4 linked regions of the Saccharomyces cerevisiae S288C genome follow. The gene in region 3 interacts genetically with the main gene of each other region. Each region holds a gene or a part of one and is shown on either strand. Other genes may lie near its edges.

The links.
Region 1: mutations in YMR084W (region 3) and YCL042W together harm fitness more than expected from each alone (negative genetic interaction), as found in Saccharomyces cerevisiae (one large-scale study listed by BioGRID).
Region 2: mutations in YMR084W (region 3) and AQY3 together harm fitness more than expected from each alone (negative genetic interaction), as found in Saccharomyces cerevisiae (one large-scale study listed by BioGRID).
Region 4: mutations in YMR084W (region 3) and CUP9 together harm fitness more than expected from each alone (negative genetic interaction), as found in Saccharomyces cerevisiae (one large-scale study listed by BioGRID).

What each region holds. Positions count from the first base shown.
Region 1 is NC_001135.5:48,678-51,517, forward strand, and holds YCL042W (uncharacterized protein), read left to right. Parts: upstream 1-1,906; coding exon 1,907-2,266; downstream 2,267-2,840. Other genes in the region: protein disulfide isomerase PDI1, read right to left, coding at 1-1,544; GLK1 (glucokinase), read left to right, coding at 2,161-2,840.
Region 2 is NC_001138.5:20,307-24,338, reverse strand, and holds AQY3 (Aqy3p), read left to right. Parts: upstream 1-1,551; coding exon 1,552-3,492; downstream 3,493-4,032. Other genes in the region: DAK2 (dihydroxyacetone kinase), read right to left, coding at 1-916. UniProt on the Saccharomyces cerevisiae protein: Channel protein that mediates glycerol entry under ethanol stimulation. Does not seem to mediate glycerol uptake under standard conditions.
Region 3 is NC_001145.3:434,899-437,990, reverse strand, and holds YMR084W (putative glutamine--fructose-6-phosphate transaminase), read right to left. Parts: upstream 1,364-3,092; coding exon 575-1,363; downstream 1-574. Other genes in the region: YMR085W (uncharacterized protein), read right to left, coding at 1-500; alcohol dehydrogenase ADH3, read right to left, coding at 2,076-3,092. UniProt on the Saccharomyces cerevisiae protein: Involved in amino sugar synthesis (formation of chitin, supplies the amino sugars of asparagine-linked oligosaccharides of glycoproteins).
Region 4 is NC_001148.4:212,528-215,932, forward strand, and holds CUP9 (Cup9p), read right to left. Parts: upstream 1,436-3,405; coding exon 515-1,435; downstream 1-514. Other genes in the region: nuclear cap-binding protein subunit CBC2, read left to right, coding at 1-257. UniProt on the Saccharomyces cerevisiae protein: Probable DNA-binding protein which plays a role in protecting yeast cells against copper toxicity. May regulate the expression of important copper homeostatic genes.

The sequences.
Region 1 (2,840 bases), on a different chromosome or scaffold from region 3:
TCTTCGTCAGCCAATTCAGCGTCAGCATCGGCTTCCTCAGCAGCTTTTTCCTGGGCTTCTTCGTACAAGGCCTTACCGTCGACGTCGAAGTGACCGTTTTCCTTGATGAAGTCGAATAAAGAGTCCAAGGATCTTGAACCTTGGTACACAACAGATTCGGACTTCTTACCACCTGGGTATAAGACGATTGTTGGGTAACCTTCAATTACGACGCCTCTGACATCGTTTTCAGTGTGGTCTAGTTTAGCAATCAAAACGTCGGATGTGGCGTTGGCGTAGGTATCAGCTAGTTCTTGGTAAGTTGGGGCCAATCTCTTACAGTGACCACACCATGGGGCATAGTACAAAACAAGAACGTCCTTCTTTGGGTCGTTGACGATTTCGTCATGGTTCTTACCGACCAATTGGAAGACAGAGGAATCTTGGTTCTCGAAGATCTCTTGGGACTTCACGATTGGGGAGGCATCACCTTTCAAGAAGTCCTTAACCAAAGATTCAATAGCCTTAGACTCCAACACGATCTTGTCGCTCAATTCGTCAAACGCCTCTTCAGAGAGTTGAGGCAAACCGTACTTCAAGTCTTCAGTCATGTCGTGGATGGCAAATAGAGGGAATTGTTCCTTCATGTTCAAGTTGCCGGCGTGTCTGCCGAATTTTCTGGCATCGATGCTAACAAAGTTCATTAGACCTCTGTTCTTTTTGGCCAACTCGGTAAAGAGAGGCTTGTATTCTTCCAATTCTTCCTCGTCATTGTAGAATAAGTAACCCAAAGGCAAACCGCTTTCGACGTATTGGGCGAAAACGGAACCGTCGATTTCACCAAAGTAGGGCAAGGCTTCCACTTGCAACCATTTTTCAAAAACATCAGCGTCAGCGATATCGGCTTTCTTACCGTTGTATACTACAGGCTCGTCCATGGCGGAGGGCAAGTAAATAGAAAGCTTGAAATCATCGTCTGCGTTTTCAGCGGAGACAAAGTCGTAGTCGTTGAAGTGTTTGTTGGCCATGGAGTAAAAGGTGGCGTTGAAGTCGGCGTCAATCTTACCGGATTGGACGATAACTGGAGTGACAAAAGTCTCGTTAGCAAGGTAAGCTGGTAGATCAGCAACAACGGCGACAGCCGGTTGGCTTTGCTTGATCATGAATTGGACAATGGCCTCGGCAGTTCTAGGTCCCTCGTAATCGATCGAGTTGTTAACATCGCTGTTTTTGAAAATCTTCAAGCTTGGGAACCCTGGAATGTTGTGTTCCATACACAGATCCTGGTTTTCAGTACAGTCGATCTGGGCCAAGGTAATGTTTTTCTCAACTAAAGTCTCGGCGGCTTTAACGTATTCAGGAGCCATGTTCTTACAGTGGCCACACCATGGAGCAAAAAACTCCGCAAGCACCAAGTCGTGCGACTGAATGTACTCATTGAAGGAGTCGGTGGCCAACTTAACGACAGCGGAGTCTTCAGGGGCCACAGCCTCTTGTTGGGCGAAAACAGAGGAGGCGAGCAGCAGGGAGGACCATGACAGGACGGCACCAGCAGAAAACTTCATAACGGGATAGATGTATGTTTTTCTTTATGTAGAGCTTGGCAGCTTTAAAATTACCAATTAGACATGCTGCTTGCAACAAGAAAATGCACGCGTAACAAAATATATATATATATATATATATATATGTATGTCCATACGGGTTTTTCGTTTTGTTGTGGTTGTAACAGCACAACAAAATGCTACACGGTGGCAAATTGGAAAAAGAGACTAGTGAGAGAAAAGGGAAAAAGAGGCGCCGCCCGACAGGGTAACATATTATCACGTGCAGCCCAGGATAATTTTCAGGACACGTGTTTCGAAAGGTTTGTCGCTCCGAAAAAATCAAAAAAAACAAAAAACGGGAAATAACAATAACGACAAAAATGGAAAAAAAAAAAATTTTAGACGCGGCGCTTGCACCCCGCATTATAAGTGGTGTGCCGACGGACGGTCAACCCCTTTCAGGGGGCCCCCTATCTTGGGCGTGGTGTCACACCACGCTCAAACGGTGGGCACTAATGAAAACGCGCCCATATAAATATCCGCTATCAACAGAACCCCCAACCCCCCCATCAGTGCCCAACTCAGCTTCCGTAAACCACAACACCACCACTAATACAACTCTATCATACACAAGATGTCATTCGACGACTTACACAAAGCCACTGAGAGAGCGGTCATCCAGGCCGTGGACCAGATCTGCGACGATTTCGAGGTTACCCCCGAGAAGCTGGACGAATTAACTGCTTACTTCATCGAACAAATGGAAAAAGGTCTAGCTCCACCAAAGGAAGGCCACACATTGGCCTCGGACAAAGGTCTTCCTATGATTCCGGCGTTCGTCACCGGGTCACCCAACGGGACGGAGCGCGGTGTTTTACTAGCCGCCGACCTGGGTGGTACCAATTTCCGTATATGTTCTGTTAACTTGCATGGAGATCATACTTTCTCCATGGAGCAAATGAAGTCCAAGATTCCCGATGATTTGCTAGACGATGAGAACGTCACATCTGACGACCTGTTTGGGTTTCTAGCACGTCGTACACTGGCCTTTATGAAGAAGTATCACCCGGACGAGTTGGCCAAGGGTAAAGACGCCAAGCCCATGAAACTGGGGTTCACTTTCTCATACCCTGTAGACCAGACCTCTCTAAACTCCGGGACATTGATCCGTTGGACCAAGGGTTTCCGCATCGCGGACACCGTCGGAAAGGATGTCGTGCAATTGTACCAGGAGCAATTAAGCGCTCAGGGTATGCCTATGATCAAGGTTGTTGCATTAACCAACGACACCGTCGGAACGTACCTATCGCATTG
Region 2 (4,032 bases), on a different chromosome or scaffold from region 3:
CAGTAATCGTTCTCTTGGGCACAATTTGATACTTATCAATCAATTGTTCAGAAATGACCTCTGCAGCATAACCCAATTCTAGATTAGACATACCACCCATGTTGTTAACCATAAGAACTACGTCCTCTTTGGGCTCAAACTTCACATAAGAACGGTCTTCATCCTCATCGAGAAGAAGAGGAAGCATCTGGGAAACGAGCTCAGAAATCGATGGCAGCGGAGAAGACTTATAGGTACCAGACTCGTTATGAATACCCATACCGATTTCATACTCATTCTCGCCCAAAATGGCTTCAGGTTTGTGGCCAGGAACCGTGCAGTGATCAAGAGATGCCGCAATTGTGACACTATTGTCAACTACTGACTGAGCAACTTCGGCAACTTCTGCCAACTCCAGTCCATGAGAAGCGGCTGCCCCAGCAATTTTATGCACCAATACGGTGGCTCCGAGACCTCGACGCCCGACTAAAGAACCTTTCTTCTTACCGACAGAGACATCATCTCCTACAGCAACCAGTTCGACTTTCATTCCAGCAGCTTTAGCTCTTTCAGCAGCGAGACCAAAATGTATAATATCACCGGTGTAATTTTTTACAATGATCAAGGTACCCTTAGGAGATTCAACAGCTTTAATAGCAGAATAGATCTGTTTAGTTGAAGGAGAAGCAAAAATGGCACCTGCTGCAATCGCATCTAAGGCACCTTCACCAACAAAACCGGCATGCGTTGGCTCATGACCACTGCCACCTCCAGAAACCAATGAAACTTTAGGAGGGTTCCCTGAATTAGGAGCTGACGCAGTCCGGAAAACCACTCTGTCGTGCTTAATCACTGTAAGGCCGGGATTGCTTCGAGCAAGGCCAAGTAGGTAGGGAGTAACGATGTTTCCATCTGATTTGAATTGTTTGTGAGACATGATTATTTAGTCAATTGTAGTTGGGTTTTGTCAGATTTTGAGGTAAAATACACTTTACAGACAATACTAGAAAAAAAAAGGGCTGATCTGGGTTCATTTATATATATTTAATGATCCAAAGTTTGAAAATTCAATCACACATTGCGGTATTTTCCCCTTCTCGTATTGTTGAGATCCTTATACAATATCAAGTACTTAATTATCCAACTATGGTGACGTAAGAATTTACTTGGCTCAATATCTCCCTATTTGGTACTACGATACGATTTCATGAAATTATGAGTTAAATAATTTAGAATCTAGTTATGGCCTGGCGGGAATTGTTTCTGTGCAGGGATTTACTCACAATCACCCTCTGCGGGAATAATATGCATAGGTTGTGATTAATTTTTTAAATTAAGTTCCATCAGAAGGCCTAGTTTTCTCCGTTGATAACTCCGCTCCGGAATATCATAATTTTCCGGTACCCCACTTACCCCGGAAATTTGAGTTATAAACGTTGTTTGAGCTTTACCTAGTCTTGGTCGATCAAAAGTTCTGGTACCTTTTCACCATGTCTCCCCCTTATTCATATAAAAAGAAGCGTATAATCGCACAGTATAACGCTCCTCTGATATATGATCTAGACCCAAGTAATGAGTTACGAATCTGGGAGGTCATCCTCCTCTTCCGAGAGTACACGGCCACCAACGCTAAAAGAAGAACCTAATGGTAAAATAGCTTGGGAAGAAAGTGTCAAAAAATCTAGGGAAAATAACGAAAATGACAGCACTCTCTTGAGGCGAAAGCTAGGTGAGACTCGAAAAGCAATTGAAACTGGAGGATCATCGAGAAATAAACTTTCTGCTTTGACACCCTTGAAAAAAGTGGTTGACGAGAGGAAGGATTCGGTACAACCACAGGTCCCTTCCATGGGTTTTACTTATTCTTTGCCTAATTTGAAGACTTTAAACAGTTTTTCAGATGCTGAGCAAGCACGTATAATGCAAGATTATCTATCCAGGGGGGTAAATCAAGGCAACAGTAATAATTATGTAGACCCACTATATCGGCAATTAAATCCAACTATGGGTAGTAGCAGGAACAGGCCTGTTTGGAGTTTAAATCAGCCGTTACCGCATGTATTGGATCGAGGCTTGGCAGCAAAGATGATACAAAAGAATATGGATGCAAGGTCCCGCGCATCATCGAGACGAGGGTCGACCGATATTTCAAGGGGGGGTTCTACTACGTCAGTGAAAGACTGGAAAAGGCTCCTTAGAGGTGCAGCACCGGGTAAAAAGCTTGGTGACATCGAAGCTCAAACGCAACGCGATAATACTGTTGGTGCAGATGTGAAACCTACTAAGTTAGAGCCTGAAAACCCACAAAAGCCCTCTAACACGCATATTGAGAATGTTTCACGTAAGAAAAAGCGTACTTCGCATAATGTCAATTTTTCATTAGGCGATGAAAGCTACGCATCCTCCATAGCCGATGCAGAATCCAGAAAATTAAAGAACATGCAAACCCTCGATGGTTCTACTCCGGTTTATACGAAGCTTCCTGAAGAACTTATTGAAGAGGAAAATAAAAGTACGAGTGCATTAGATGGTAATGAAATTGGTGCCTCAGAAGATGAAGACGCGGATATAATGACATTTCCTAACTTTTGGGCAAAAATTCGCTATCATATGCGAGAACCGTTTGCGGAGTTTCTCGGGACACTAGTTCTTGTCATTTTTGGTGTTGGTGGTAATCTTCAAGCAACTGTAACAAAAGGTAGTGGTGGTTCCTATGAATCCCTATCATTTGCATGGGGGTTCGGTTGTATGCTTGGTGTTTACGTCGCAGGCGGTATTAGTGGTGGTCATATTAACCCTGCTGTTACGATTTCAATGGCAATTTTTCGAAAATTCCCCTGGAAAAAGGTGCCCGTATATATTGTTGCTCAGATTATCGGTGCATATTTTGGAGGAGCTATGGCTTATGGTTATTTTTGGAGCTCTATCACAGAATTTGAGGGAGGTCCGCACATAAGAACAACGGCGACCGGTGCGTGTTTGTTTACTGATCCAAAGTCTTACGTCACGTGGAGAAATGCCTTCTTTGACGAATTCATAGGAGCCTCTATACTTGTGGGTTGTTTGATGGCGCTATTGGATGATAGTAATGCTCCACCTGGCAATGGTATGACCGCATTAATTATTGGATTCTTAGTCGCTGCAATTGGTATGGCCCTTGGATATCAAACAAGTTTCACAATCAATCCTGCAAGAGATCTCGGTCCTCGCATATTTGCTTCCATGATTGGCTATGGTCCACATGCTTTTCATCTCACACATTGGTGGTGGACATGGGGAGCCTGGGGTGGTCCAATTGCCGGCGGTATTGCTGGAGCACTCATATATGACATTTTCATTTTTACTGGATGCGAATCCCCAGTCAACTACCCAGACAACGGTTATATTGAGAATAGGGTAGGTAAACTTTTACATGCGGAGTTCCACCAGAATGATGGCACTGTCTCAGATGAATCTGGTGTTAACAGCAACAGCAACACTGGCAGCAAGAAATCTGTGCCTACTTCGTCATAATTAATATTTTCAATTTTTTACGATTTATAACCTAATTATTAATTTCACGAACTTATTATTTGACGACATACTACATCCGGGAGCCGTGACTTTGTTACCATCTCTTACTTGTGCTCTAAATTCTATCGTTTTGTTTTTGTAATAAAGAATGAGACTGCCTGCGGCTTAATTGTCTTTTTATTGTAGGCAAGAACAAAATTCGACTAATACGTAAAATTAAATGTCAAACCAGGAGTCTCACATTATGTTATTAATAAAAATAATAAAATTTTCAGCTCGTTGACGATAGGAAAATTCCTGGCACCATCAACTAGGTAATCCCACTGAAGATGTGTTTTATATGAATATGTGCTATATTTACTAATAATAAAGAGCAAGTTGCCAAATAAACTAATTGTGCTCAAAGAAAATTATTGTCATTATCATATATTTTCTCATATGCAATTTCAATCAATTTTAGACAAGTGATTATATATATGTAAACGGTTGTTTTTTGATGTTACGTTCTGTATGATTGACCAATGCTATTTTTCTCATGCG
Region 3 (3,092 bases):
GAAACAAATATGCAAACATCGTTCCTGAAAATGCAACAATTGCGGTCAACAAAATCCAAGGCCAATTCAACGTTTACTGGAACTTCCATTAACTCCTCAAAGATGGGACGGGCAGCTAGGCATGAATGGAAGGAGGCCTTGGATGCAATCATTATTATTCGTTTTGCTCTTCTCAATTCTGTCAACCAATTTTCTAGTCCTCCCAAAACTACTCTGTTTGTAAAGGCGTCAACTCTTCCTCTCATGACATTTTTTGTTGTTTCACACTGCTCGTATATTTCCTTTTGCATAAAATTATCGTAAGGGCCTTTTTTGATTTTGGACAACTCCAATTCTAATTTTTGAACTGTTCTAAATGAAAAGTCCTCGGAACCAATTTTAGAACAATGGATATGAAGCTCCCCATCATAGATATGGGCAATATCATTATCCTCCAAATATACTACTTTACTCACATACCGCGCTAGTGATGCACAATCGGATGACAAATAGAATTCCATGGGTCGCGGCAAGCCGTTCTCGGCTGGCGTTTCTGTGGATGAGCCATGATTGAATGTAGAAGTTGTAGAGTTTCTCAGGTATTGTGAACGAAGGGGGGTGACTTCCTTAAACAAGTGTTATATTTTACAGGTGCGGCAGCCAAGACATTACCAGAACTCTTGGTTTGAGTATTAAGCTTCAAGTAGTCTTCTTCTTGATCCAAATATTCCACCTCGACAAAGTTTACGTCCATGTCAGTTTTACCTTTAACACCAATAACTAACGGGGAACCCTTTCTTGCGGCAACCACTTCATCGGGAAAATGAGAAGAAGTGCATAGCAGACCATAAGAGCCTTCCAATTCTTTAAGTACTAAATTTGTTAATACATGGAAATCGAGGTTGTACCCGAGTTCAATGCTTGTATCATAAATGTGTTTGTACAGTTTAGGAATACATTCGGTATCAGTGTCACTTTTGAACACATAGCCCTTTGCCATCAATAAGGCTTTCAAATTAGCGAAGTTGGTAATAACCCCGTTGTGTACCACAACAAATTCATTAGATGGATCTGAGTTATGTGGATGACAATTTGCACGTCTTAGCCCTCCATGTGTTGCCCGCCTAGTATGGGCAATGCCACAATGCGAAATAAAGGGCAGGTTCTTATTAAGATTGTAAAGGTCGATTTCTTCCTTCAAACTGCTTATTTTACCGGTTTGCTTATAAATATTGAGAGACTCCAGCTCATCACCTTGGATCGAAATTCCACTGGAGTCATATTCCTTGTACTCCAATGCCTGTAACCCTTCGATTAAAGTGTCGATGATTTCTCCTCTTGTCTTCTCAATTAAAAAATTGCAATAGCCAAAAATGCCACACATTCTTCTTCTTATATTGGGTTTTTAATCTAGTTTATTGGATCATCTTTTGAAAGTCTTTTTTACAAATTCCTTTTGTTTTATAATTTAATTATAAATGTTCAAAGACGTTTCTGAATTGTAAATATAATTCAGGGGACGGCATCAGTTTGATTCCATACACTACGTGCTAGTCTAGCCCAGCATGACTAAAACGAAAAGGGGCGCCTTTAAAAATGAGGAAGAAATCCAAATCCTAATGACCTTCAAGCGCATTTTTGGGGCTGATGTTTTAGTTCGAATGTCTCCTATTGTTAAAAGAAAGACTGCCTCTTACCTGCTTTGAGAGAGGCTGATTATTAAGAACACAGGACCCTTAAATCGGCGGCTTGTGAAATTTCTCCGAATTAAAATTCTGGATGTTCAAGAAAAATATTCTCTTCGGCCCTTTTATCGTGAGAGTAATATCGAAGTGTGCAAGGAAAAATCAAAAACGTGAAAAAACTTATACGGTTAGGTTTGGGCGGCTCGATGCTTGATGGTGATAATGTCTCTCAAACGTTCTATGTGTCGACGGAAGCCAAATTTGGGCTATTTCCATTATCACTACTTGATATAGAAAAAATACTGGTACTGCTTCTTGATTTAGTGATTAATCTTTGCTCCACTATATATTTATAAACCTCATCATTATAAACAAAGACTTTCATAAAAAGTTTGGGTGCGTAACACGCTATTATTTACTAGTATCGACGACGTATCTACCCAAAATCTTGCCCTTTTCCATCAAGTCATAAACCTTTGGTAATTCAGATAATCCAACAATTTTGATTGGTGATTTGATCAAACCTCTGCTAAAGAAGTCTAAGGCTTCTCTCGTATCAGCTCTGTTACCAACATAAGAACCCTTGATATTGATGGACTTCACCACATGAGAGAATACCTCTGATTTAACGTAGGCGTTAGCGGGCAAACCAACCAAAACGACGGTACCACATGGTCTAACATATTCCGTAGATAGAGAAATAGCGGCTTCAGAAACGGAAACGTTAATGACACCATGAGGGCCACCTTTGGTAGCTTCTTGAATGTCAGAAACCATATTCTTTGTTTTAGTAAAGTCGATGAATACTTCACCCCCCAATTTCTTGAAAAGTTTTTCCTTTTCCTCACCTGCATCAATACCTAGAACTCTGTAACCCATCGCAGTTGCATATTGAACGGCCAAGGAACCCAAGCCACCTGCAGCACCAGAGATGGCAACCCAGTCACCAGCTTTCAAGTCTGCCTCTTTTAGTGCTTTATATACAGTAACACCAGCACATAATATTGGGGCTACTTCGGCCAAGTCGGTACCCTGTTGAATTTTGGCGGCTTGAATAGCATCAGCGGTCGCAAATTGTTGGAAAGAACCATCATGAGTGTAACCAGATAAATCAGCATCTGGACAATTTGATTCATGACCTGATTCACAGAATTCGCATGTCATACAAGAACCGTTCAGCCATTTGATACCTGCTAAATCACCGACTTTCCAGCCCTTGACATTGGAACCTAGTTTGACAACTACACCAGCACCTTCATGACCACCTACTAATGGTAGTTTAACAGGTAATGGCCAATCGCCGTGCCAAGCATGTAAATCGGTGTGACATACACCAGAATATTTAACGTTGATTAAAATTTCATTTGGCTTAGGCTCGGGGACAGGGATATCTTTGTAATGCAGCTTCCCCTTATTCTCATAAAAGAT
Region 4 (3,405 bases), on a different chromosome or scaffold from region 3:
GTTTTGAAGATGGAAGACAGTTTGGTCGTGGTAAGAGCGGTGGTCAAGTCAGCGATGAATTGAGGTTCGATTTTGATGCATCCAGAGGTGGCTTCGCCATTCCATTTGCAGAGCGTGTCGGCGTACCACATTCCAGATTTGATAACAGTAGCTCACAATCTAATACGAATAATTATATCCCTCCTCCTGATGCAATGGGTACTTTCAGACCAGGTTTCGATGAAGAAAGAGAAGATGATAACTACGTACCTCAGTAGAATCAATCAATTTATATCTGAGAAAGATTCTACACACAGATATATATATATATATATATATTATTGTATATATACATACCTACATTATTTTTAAAGGCTTGCATGATGCTGTTATGTAAAAAAAAAAAAAAAAAATCAGTGTAACATAATAGACGTAACACGTTCAATGACATGATAATACTATATATAGTAACGATAAAATGTAAATGGTAATAGATATAATTATATGAATATTTAAGTAATGCATTGATAAGTGATCAATTCATATCAGGGTTGGATAGCTTTTTCAATTCTTCCAGCCTATCAATTAGTTTTTTACGGCGTGTAACGGGGGCATGAGCAAATCTCTTGGATAATTCATAATCCGTGGAGCAGGTTGACGTAGCATCGTACATAGTATTATTTGTGGCAGATAATGTGTTATGATATGCTGAGACGTTTTGAACTCGTTCCACTGGGGTATTATTCGCGTTGTCATTAGGAATTGAGTTTACCAGGGTATAGTAATCACTAAATATTTTGCGTCTTCTCACATTTATGAACCAATTAGAAAGTTGAATCTTGGTTAGCCCAGTTTTGATTAACAACTCCCTCTTTTCTTGTTGAGTTGGGTAGGGGTTATTCAGGTGGTTCAGCAACCAAGTATTCAGTATCTGCACTGTTTCCTTTGGCAGGTTAGACCTCCTGCCCGAATTTTGCTTCCTCCTTGATTTAGATTCTACAAAATCCGAAAATGGCCTGTTGTATTGTGCCCCCGCATCCTTTTCCTTATTGATTATTTCATATATTGGGGCGGATTTGTAGCAGGGCTTTGCATCATCGGACGCCGATTTTGACTTCTTTGAACTGCCATATTGAGATTGTGTATCCATAGCACTGCTACTCGTCTTGGACGTTTCAACTGTAGAAGCAGTAGGAGTAGCAGTAGTACTAGTACCGCCAGAATTAATTGCGGGATACGCAATCGAATGATGCTGTGGAAGTAACACAGGCGCAGGATAGTTTTGTTCCTCGGTACTAGACCGAAGGTTCCCATGCGAGTATTCTATGTTCGAAAATGCCAACTCGGGCATACTCCGTTTTTCTATGGAGTTAAATAGAACTTGGATAGGGGGTAGACTGACTTGATTGTCAACATTCTTACTGTTCCTGTTTTGTATTTCGCAGTTATAATTCATCTTCGAATGTAACTATTCTCGAAGGTTGTTAGCATAAAAGTAGGGGCTCGGCAAGTAGCGATCAGTAGCACTGGATAGGCGTGGTATCGCTTGAAAACAAGGGTGGGAAGATCAACTAAAAAATTGTATTAGTATATATCTTGACCAATTTAACATAATCTTACCAATTAACAGAAACAGGAGGCATTAAGAGACAAGAAAACGCCGGGCGCGACGAAATCAGTCATAGAAAATTAATCATTAATATATACACGCTGTAAGAAAACAAAAGGACAAAAATTAATTACCAAAAGAAAAAAACAAACTACAGCTTGATGTACATGAATAAATTAAGGTTCAACAAAAGAGAAAAGCTGAGAGACGTAAGATGGCAGAAATGACCCGTTCCCACAGAAAGAAATCTGAATCCGAAGAAGGAAGTAATACGCGCGTGAGCGGATAAGGTTTCTTATCTAGCCAATCACAAAAATCAACAGTAGTAATTCTCGTGGGATTCTTTTGTGTCTCTTAAAATTGCCCTTTACGTACAGTCTTCGTCCATTATCAGGACGATTTGACAGAAAATGAGCGAGATCAGAAATATACCGCTACCGATCATGAGTGCTCAGAAAACCCCGTGGATAACCCAACGGTCCGAAAGTGACAGTTTTTTCTTTTGCCGCTTTACTTTTTTTGCGTCTTAAAGGGCTGTGGCTCCTCTGCGCCTGCGCCAGAGTAGCGGTAGGGTTCTTACTTCGGGCAACGCCGACTCTGGGTGCATTCGCCAGTGTGAGGAAGCACGCTGCTTGTGCTTGTTGGAAGTGTGGACTAGGTCAAGCCCGCCGGACACTAGGAAACACGCACAAAATTCTCAGGCACTAAATAGGCCAGAAGCAAAAAGCCGTCGGTAGTGCTCCTTTTCTCTGTTGCCGTTAACGGTCAGGTCTGTTAAGACACATAACGAAAAGCATATGTATAATAGGCACCGACATTTGTGCGGCATATTCTGTGCTTAGTTTGCAGTACAAGACGAGCTTCGGAGGCATACTACTTTAATCATATTTGCTCACTTTTAAGTTGCTCACTTTCTAATACGTGCATTCCTTTACAAGCTTACTAACACATTGGCTTGGCACTTAAAACACTAATGAAACGTGTTTAAGGGGCCCGACAATATTGCTATTATGTCGCTCTCAACAGCTTGTTTGCGAATTTTAAATTTGATAGCTCCCTCTTTCTCCTCCTCTACCGTTCGACATGACTAAAAGGCGTTGGCACGATTTTCTTTGATGCTAATGTAATCAAGTCAAGTATGGGTTGCTTTGACGATCCAGATGCAGAAGTCAAAGTTACGAGTCAAAACCTACGAGACTAGACATATCTCTGCAGATGAAAAGGCCTGTTCTATAAAAAAAAAATCACTGTTAAAGTTCAGACAGAAGCTTATTTCAAGGAAAGCACTGTGATTGATTTATTCACTATCGAGTTTCTACAGGTGTTGAAGTTCATATATTTGCACGTGCTCGTAGCTCTTTTCTTCCTTTTTGAGACATAAAAATATGGAATATCTTGGCACCCGTTACAAGCCGTCTCTAAAAATATACATGGCGTACATAATAATCTCCAGCTGATTCAAATATCCCGCGCTTTTCCCGTGGTAAATACTGTGTGTCCTATTAGGCTTTCTCTTGGCATTTCACTTCTTAACCTCTAAGGTATTCAAGGGGCGGAGGTGTAATAAAAACAAGAAAAAAAAAAAAAAGAGGAAATTTGTGGCAATCTTCCTAATATAACTATGTTGAAATGTGTGTACTAACACCTTATACTATCTATATCCTTTGTCTAAACAGCTCTGCCGATAAAAAAATTCCCCGCGGAGATGTCCATACTGACTAATAAAATTGTCCCGCACAGGCAAAAAGCAACTTTAAATGCATGGGCTCCTAATCTTAGAATTAAACGTATTTAGTCTTCCTAGGCAAGAAATCTAC